Macaca fascicularis: one gene and its partner. The protein of the gene in region 1 purifies or fractionates together with the protein of each later gene. This does not show direct contact. Links are inferred from orthologs where the notes say so. Each region holds a gene or a part of one and is shown on either strand. Other genes may lie near its edges.

The links. Proteins that work in one complex are often made in the same cells at the same time.
Region 2: the proteins of DOT1L (region 1) and NPM1 purify together in Homo sapiens (affinity purification with mass spectrometry; 3 studies listed by BioGRID and IntAct, with this or other methods). This does not show direct contact. The link is inferred for Macaca fascicularis from reciprocal best matches to the Homo sapiens genes DOT1L and NPM1.

Annotation. Positions count from the first base shown.
Region 1 is NC_088393.1:2,876,549-2,880,115, reverse strand, and holds part of DOT1L (histone-lysine N-methyltransferase, H3 lysine-79 specific), read right to left. Parts: intron 2,759-3,567; coding exon 2,644-2,758; intron 898-2,643; coding exon 314-897; intron 1-313. UniProt on the Homo sapiens protein: Histone methyltransferase. Methylates 'Lys-79' of histone H3. Nucleosomes are preferred as substrate compared to free histones. Binds to DNA.
Region 2 is NC_088380.1:178,197,137-178,200,703, reverse strand, and holds part of NPM1 (nucleophosmin), read right to left. Parts: intron 2,989-3,567; coding exon 2,902-2,988; intron 1,072-2,901; exon of another isoform or gene 1,056-1,071; coding exon 954-1,055; intron 1-953. UniProt on the Homo sapiens protein: Involved in diverse cellular processes such as ribosome biogenesis, centrosome duplication, protein chaperoning, histone assembly, cell proliferation, and regulation of tumor suppressors p53/TP53 and ARF.

The sequences.
Region 1 (3,567 bases):
CTGTCTGCACCCCAGGGTTTCCTGAGGAAACTGACGCCCTGCCCAGTGGCCACTGCAGCCCCCATCCTGGTTCCTCCTGGTCCTCACACACGACCCCACAATCCCAGAGCCCCCCACACCCCCTCATGTGGCCACCCCCACCAAGGCCCCACAGCCAAGGATGAAGAAGCTTGCAGGCAGCTGTCGGCCGCTTCCTTCCAGGCTGCCAGGCCGCAGATGGTGGACAACGGCCAGACTCAGTCATAGCCCCCCATTCCCTCTGGTCTTTCTTTCACAGGCCGTGCTCCCCAGCCCCGCCGGTCCCCATCCTTACCATGGAGTTGAGGTTGAGGGGAGACCCCGAAGGTTGTGTGAAAAGGCCAGCGACGGACGGCAGGGCTCGGCGCTTGGGGGACACGCCTGCGCTCAAGCTGGGCGTCCCCGTCGATGCTCGCTTCCGCCGCCCACGCTTGCGGCTGTCCTGCCCGTGGCTCGGCACGCAGTCCCCACGGGAGCTGGCGGTCAGGGGGCTGTGCTTGCTGGAGGGCGACTGTCTGGCACTGCCCGCGCCCGCGGCGATGGTGAACACGATCCTCCTCTTGGCCTCACTCTCAGGATCTGAGAAACCGGAGTCTGAGGGCAAGTCCCCCTTGCTGGCCTCGGGGAGCGGGCCCTGGGCAGCCCCACCAAGCCGGGGGCTGGAGGAGAGCTGGTGGGCGGGAGAGGCCGGGAGCGAGTTCCGGGGCTGTGCCAGCAGCAGGGGGTGCTGTGGTGTGGAGCTGCGGGACCCCACGGTGGCAAAAAGGCTCCCAGAGCTGGAGGACTCATCCAAGGTGGCCGGCTCGGCTCCAGGTGTGAGGGAGGCCGGGCTGCCCGCCAAGGCCCCGCTGATGGCCACCGAGCCAGCATAGGAGAAGCCTGTCAGGAAGGACATGGGGGTGTCAGGGAACACAGGACGGGCTCAGTCCACAGGGGCGGATGCTGGGCCCCACTGCGCCAAAGAAAAAGCCAGGCTGTGGGAGCACCACCCTCCAGGAGCTCTGTGGGCTCCAGGAGAGGCGGGGAAGTGGGCAGCAGGGCTGGAGTCTGAAAACAGCCCCTCTGGGGTGGAACCAGAAGGCTCTGTGGGCAAGCTCAGGGCTCAGGATTGACCCTGTGCCTCATGCCGCCATCTGGGCTGCCTGTGTCCTGCAGGTCCCGGCTGAGATGCTGCCTCCCAAGAAGCCTCCTGGTGCGGGCTCCCCGCTGAGCTGGGCTTCCTCTGAATAAGTTGCTCTCTGGCCCCGTGATCTCAGAGACACCATGAGGAAAGCCCAAGGCTGAGGGGCCTCCCTCCCACCTGTTCTCAGAGGACAACTCAGCTTGAACGCTCCAAGCTATGGCCACCCTGGAGGCTGCGGCCGCACTTCCCAGCCCACGATGAGTGGTGCACTTCCATGACCACCCAAGGACAAAGGGCAGCTTCTCTGCTTCTGCCAATGAGGCCTCAGTGCAGGGGCGCGGTGAGGCGCTTCTGGAGTTGGCTGTTTGCCACCCAGTTGAAAACCTCCCGAAACTGTCACTGCCTCTTGCAAAGCAGACCTCATCCCAAGGGCACAACCCAACCCTGTGAGGGCAGAGCTGCCCAGGCTTCGGCGGCCTCTCCGGGGCCCTCACGTGGCCAACTGTGAAGCCTGCCCAGCCTCCCTAGAGCCTCCTATCTCAAAGGCGGCACTTTACTCGTGTTGTTTTGTTTGTGAGATGGAGTTGTATTCTTTTTGCTCAGGCTGGAGTGCCGTGGCGCGATCTCAGCTCACTGCAACCTCTACCTCCCAGGATCAAGTGATTCTCGTGCCTCAGCCTCCCGAGTGGCTGGGATTACAGAAGCCCGCCACCACACCCGGCTAATTTTTGTACTCTTAGGAGAGACGGGGTTTCACTATGTTGGCCAGGTTGGTCTCGAACTCCTGTCCTCAGGTGATCCACCCTCCTCGGCCTCCCAGGGTGCTGGGGTTACAGGAGTCAGCCACCGCGCCCGGCCATTTTACTTTTTACTCCTAAAGTAGTAGCGGCCACATCACACCACGTGTCAACACGGGCCAGCAAACCAGCCTGGGGTCTGGCGCCCTGCGCTGTTGTAAGTCGAGTGTTACTGGCACACAGCCATGCTTGCCGACATGCCGTCTCTGCGGCTTCCACAACAGACCGGCCTGCAGTGTCGACAAAAGCCAAAGCAGCGTCCTCTCTGGCTCTTTGCAGAAACTGGGCTAACAGCAGTCTGGTCAGGCTTCTGAAGAAACCAGAAACCACGCCGCTACTAGCATGGAGGCCCACGGTCATGTGCCATTGGGCACTGCTGTGTGTGGAACTGATCCTGAGTCAGGCTGTGAGTAGAGGAGCCCCGGACAGCGCTGGGGCCGACCTCACGGGCTGAATTAGTACACCCAAGCACAAGGTGTCAGTGTTGGGAGACGCAGGCACTAGGCCGCGATGGCTGCAGCTGAGCCCGATCCGCAACCCAGCCGGTGGGATGCAGGAAAGGGTGTCAGTAACGAGGCCTGGTGGTTCGGGGCAGCAGCCCCCATGATCACCCCAGGAAGCCGTGTTGCATTCCCAGCACCCCGGCCTCCTGCCTGAAGAGCAGCCGCAGCGAAGTCCTGAAGGCAGGCACAGGAGGGGCGTTACCTGCGGGGGCCAGGGCAAGGCTTCTGCTCCCAGCGCCGTGGGCATTAGCACCAATCTGCTTTTCAAGTGTGGACGAGGGGTCGCGGGGCTGCAGCACAGGACTGGGGGTGCTCCTCTGCAGAGAGAAAACCTCATGTCAGGGGCGAGACCCAGAACCCAATTGGAAATAGTGAGTGTGGAGGGCTGCAGCTGGCTGGGTCACCATCCAGTCCAGGATGGGAAGAGGGCAGTGGGGGAACTGCAGTGGGGCCCCGGGCAGGTGGCGCAGCGAGGGTGGGCAGTGCGTGTGTGTGGATGAGGCAGCGGGCCTAAGGCAGGGAGGTCAGGAGGCGGGAGTCCTGGGGTCCGGCGGTGGGGAGGGGGTACTGGGCACCACTCAAACCACCCACAGCCCACCCTCAACAGGGAAAGTGGCTGTTCTCTGAGTAGCACGGACAAATGTCAGCAGTCGCGTGGGGGCGCTCACAAGACCACACCCGCCGGCCACCACCCCCGCACTTCCCCACACCACACTCCAAGTCCAACAAAGGTCAGTAGTGACCACAGAACCCAAAGAGCAAACCTACATCCACACGGAAACCTGGACCCAGCGCTCACAGCAGAATGATTCACAATCGCCAAAACGGGGAGTCAAGCCGGGGCCCATCAACTGAGCATGATGAAGACGGCACACTCCGCCCACCCAGAGAATGCCCTCACGTGCCAAGAGGAGGGACAGGCCCGGACACGAGTGTGTTCGGGGTCCCGGGGGCTGGGGGACGGCTAGGGAGTGACTGCTGACGGGGGCAACACTTCTGGGGTGAAGAAAATGTCCTGAATTAGACTGAGGTGTATAAAAATACGAAAAAACCGACCGGGCACGGGGGTTCATGCCTGGAATCCCAGCACTGTGGGAGGCCGAGCCAGGTGGATCGACTGAGGCCA
Region 2 (3,567 bases), on another chromosome or scaffold:
GGACCATATTAAAATGGAGGGGAGGGGAATCTAAAATATGTCATTTTAGCATTGTATCCAAGGGACAAAAATCTGATAAGCAGGAAGGCTAAAGGGTTTCCAGTGTGACTAAAACAAGAAATATGTTCCAGTTCTAAAATTTTTTTTCCAGTGGACTTATCACTGTACAAGGAAATCTACACAAGCCAACAAAAAATCTATAGAGCACAGGAAAAACATGGGGAAATGAGTTGGCAATTTTTCCTTACCACCCCACATTTGTTCTCAATAATTGCAGTCTAAAAGTATTGTTCATTGAATTAAAGCTTCTCTCAAATGTGCTTCCAAGGCATTTAAACCATTTATTTCATATCCTACTCAAGTCATTCAGACAAGAGACCTAATCGTCTTCCCACATTTCCATTATTTAAGACAAAAGGAAACTAGATTTAAACCTATTAGTCATTCACAAAATCTATTACTACACGTATTTAACTGGTGACAACTTGGTGTAAAGGGCAAACAGAAATGTCTCAATCTGCTGAAAATTACTTCTGACTAGGGTCAATCATGAATATTTAACTATAATACCAACCAACCAGTCTACTTTTCCAGCTGTTTGCAATTTTAATGAAGTCTCATACGCCCTCTGTTGGTTCTCTAGCATATCTTACAACCAGAATAGGTCAAGGGTTCTCACTGATCTATTTTAACATGGAAGGTCAGAATGTTATCTTGCAACCAGTGCACTACATTCCTTTTATAATGGAAAATAAGGCATATTTAATTTTGCATATGCAAATCACCACAGACACGATTATAAATGTTTTATAATTCATTTTTAAAAAAATTCATACCACGAACAGGGCAAGTACATTAAATCAAAACAAAAAAAACAAACATTCAAGTCTACGCAAACTAGACACATGCAATTTGAGCAGGGAGAAAGTTTTTTTTAAAATAACTTTACTCACTTTTTCTATACTTGCTTGCATTTTTGCTTTAATGTCTTCTACAGAACTAGGTCCTTTTGGTGTTTTAGGAGTTTTTTCCTGTTTTTTGAAGGATTCTTGTCCCTGAAAAGGAAATGAACTTCCAAAAGGTCATAAGAATAAATACAACTCCTAATTTAAAACCCATTCTATCTGGATTTCCTCAAATAGTCTTACAAAACTCCCTTATAAAGCTAATTATACAACTGGAATTATCAATAAATTCACACCATACAATTTTGTTCTTAAAAATCTTTCTTGTAAGATTAGCTAGGCATGGTTGTGCATGCCTGTAATCCCAGCTACTCAGGAGGCTAAAGCGGGAAGATTGCTTGAGCCCAGCAGCTGGAGGCTGTAGAGAGAGCTATGATCATACCACTGTACTCCCAACTGGGCAAGAGTAGGACACCCGTCTTTTTTTTAAAAAAAAAAAAAAAAAAAAAAAGGAGTAACTTGGGAGTTCGCTTTTTAATGCACAATACTCAGTTCAAAAAATGAAATCAGGCCGGGCGCGGTGGCTCAAGCCTGTAATCCCAGCACTTTGGGAGGCCGAGGCGGGTGGATCACGAGGTCAGGAGATCGAGACCATCCTGGCTAACATGGTGAAACCCCGTCTCTACTAAAAATACAAAAAATTAGCCGGGCGTGGTGGCGGGCGCCTGTAGTCCCAGCTACTCGGAGGCTGAGGCGGGAGAATGGCGTGAACCCGGGAGGTAGAGCTTGCAGTGAGCCGAGATCGCGCCACTGCACTCCAGCCTGGGCGACAGAGCGAGACTCCGTCTCAAAAAAAAAAAAAAAAAAAAAAAATGAAATCAGAAGATCCCTGAGAATAAAGCAAGAAAGTCATTGCAGTCTGATGCCTGGGGCCCACCCCAGACCAATTTCATGATAATCTCCATAAGCAGAGCACAGTGTTGGGTTCTTTTAAAGTTTTTCTCCTTTAAATTCCATTTTCTGCAGGGAAGGGGGTAAGGCCAGAAAGGAGACCATCACACCCTGTCTGGCCCTAAATGTTCTACTTCAATCTAATATGCAGCCAAGGTTGAGAATCTCTACTCTATGCAGGTATACTTTTCAACAAAGATTCCTTACAGGAAACAACTATTGACTTCACAATCATAAAAAATTCAAGCCAGGCGTGGTGGCTCACGCCTATAATCTCAGCACTCTGGGAGGCCCAGGAGGGCAGATCACCTGCAGTCAGGAGTTCAAGACCAGCCTGGCCAACGTATATAGTGAAACCCCACCTCTACTCAAAAATACAAAAATAAGCTGGGCCTGGTGGCACACACGTGTAGTCCTAGCTACTTGAGAAGCTGAGGGAGGAGAATCGCTTGAACCCGGGAAGTGAAAGTTGCAGCAAGCCGAGATCATGCAGCTCTAACCCAGACTCACTGACAAAGCGAGGGTCCGTCTCTCTCAAAAAAGTCTATTGGTTCCCCCCGCCACTGGAACCCCAGCAGCACATTACTTAGTATGTTTGTCTGTGTGTACCTGTAACACATAACAAGCTGATTTTTTTTTTTTTTTTTGGAGGCAGAGTCTGACTCTTTCGCCCAAGCTGGAGTGCAGTGGTACAATCACTGCAACCTCCGCCTCCTGAGTAGGTGGAATTACAGGAACATACCACCATGCCTGGCTAATTTTTGTGTTTTTAGTAAGGATGGGGTTTCACGATGTTGGCCAGGCTAGTCTCAAACTCCTGACCTCAGGTGATCCCACCAACCTTAGCCTCCCTCCCAAAGTGCTGGGATTACAGGAGTAAGCCACTGCGCCCGGCAGCAGCAAGCTGATTTAAACTTTAAAACAGCAATTACAGGGGTTCTATAAAGGCCTATGAAATTTCAGACACACTAGATTCTTCCACAACAGTAGAATCTTTTTTCCCCGACTATATCAATGAGACCCATATGTAAATGTAACCACTTACTTTTGATCTTGGTGTTGATGATGGTTTTGAGTCTTTTCCATTCTGATTTGACTTTTGTGCATTTTTGGCTGGAGTATCTCGTATAGACTGCAATTAGAAATTTATCTTAATCACTGTCCCTGACCCCAGCAACAGTGCAAACAGTACTGTCCAAGCCATGTAAGAAAAGCAGCAACCACAGGCTGGGCGCAGTGGCTCACGCCTGTAATCCCAGGACTTTGGGAGGCCGAGGCAAGTAGATCATGAGGTCAGGAGTTCAAGACCTGCCTGGCCAACATGGTGAAACTCCATCTCTACTAAAAATGCAAAAATTAGCTGGGTGTGGTGGCCTGAGTCTGTAATTCCAGCTACTCAGGAGGCTGAGGCAGGAGAATCGCTTCAACCTGGGAGGCAGAGGTTGCAGTGAGCCGAGATTGCGCCACTGTACTCCAGTCTGGGTGACAGACTCCGTCTCAAAAAAAAAAGAAAAAAAGAAAAGAAAAAGCAGCAACCACTTGAATAAAAGGTTACACAAGACTAACAAATTGGGTGGAGGGCTACATGGATAAAGAAAACAGACCATTCCCCACTATAAGTTTTCTGTAGTCCTCCTCAGAACTAATTTTCAGTATGAGATGATCTCCCACACCAGCTTCCCTCAACTACAAAACAAGCAAATAGCACTAA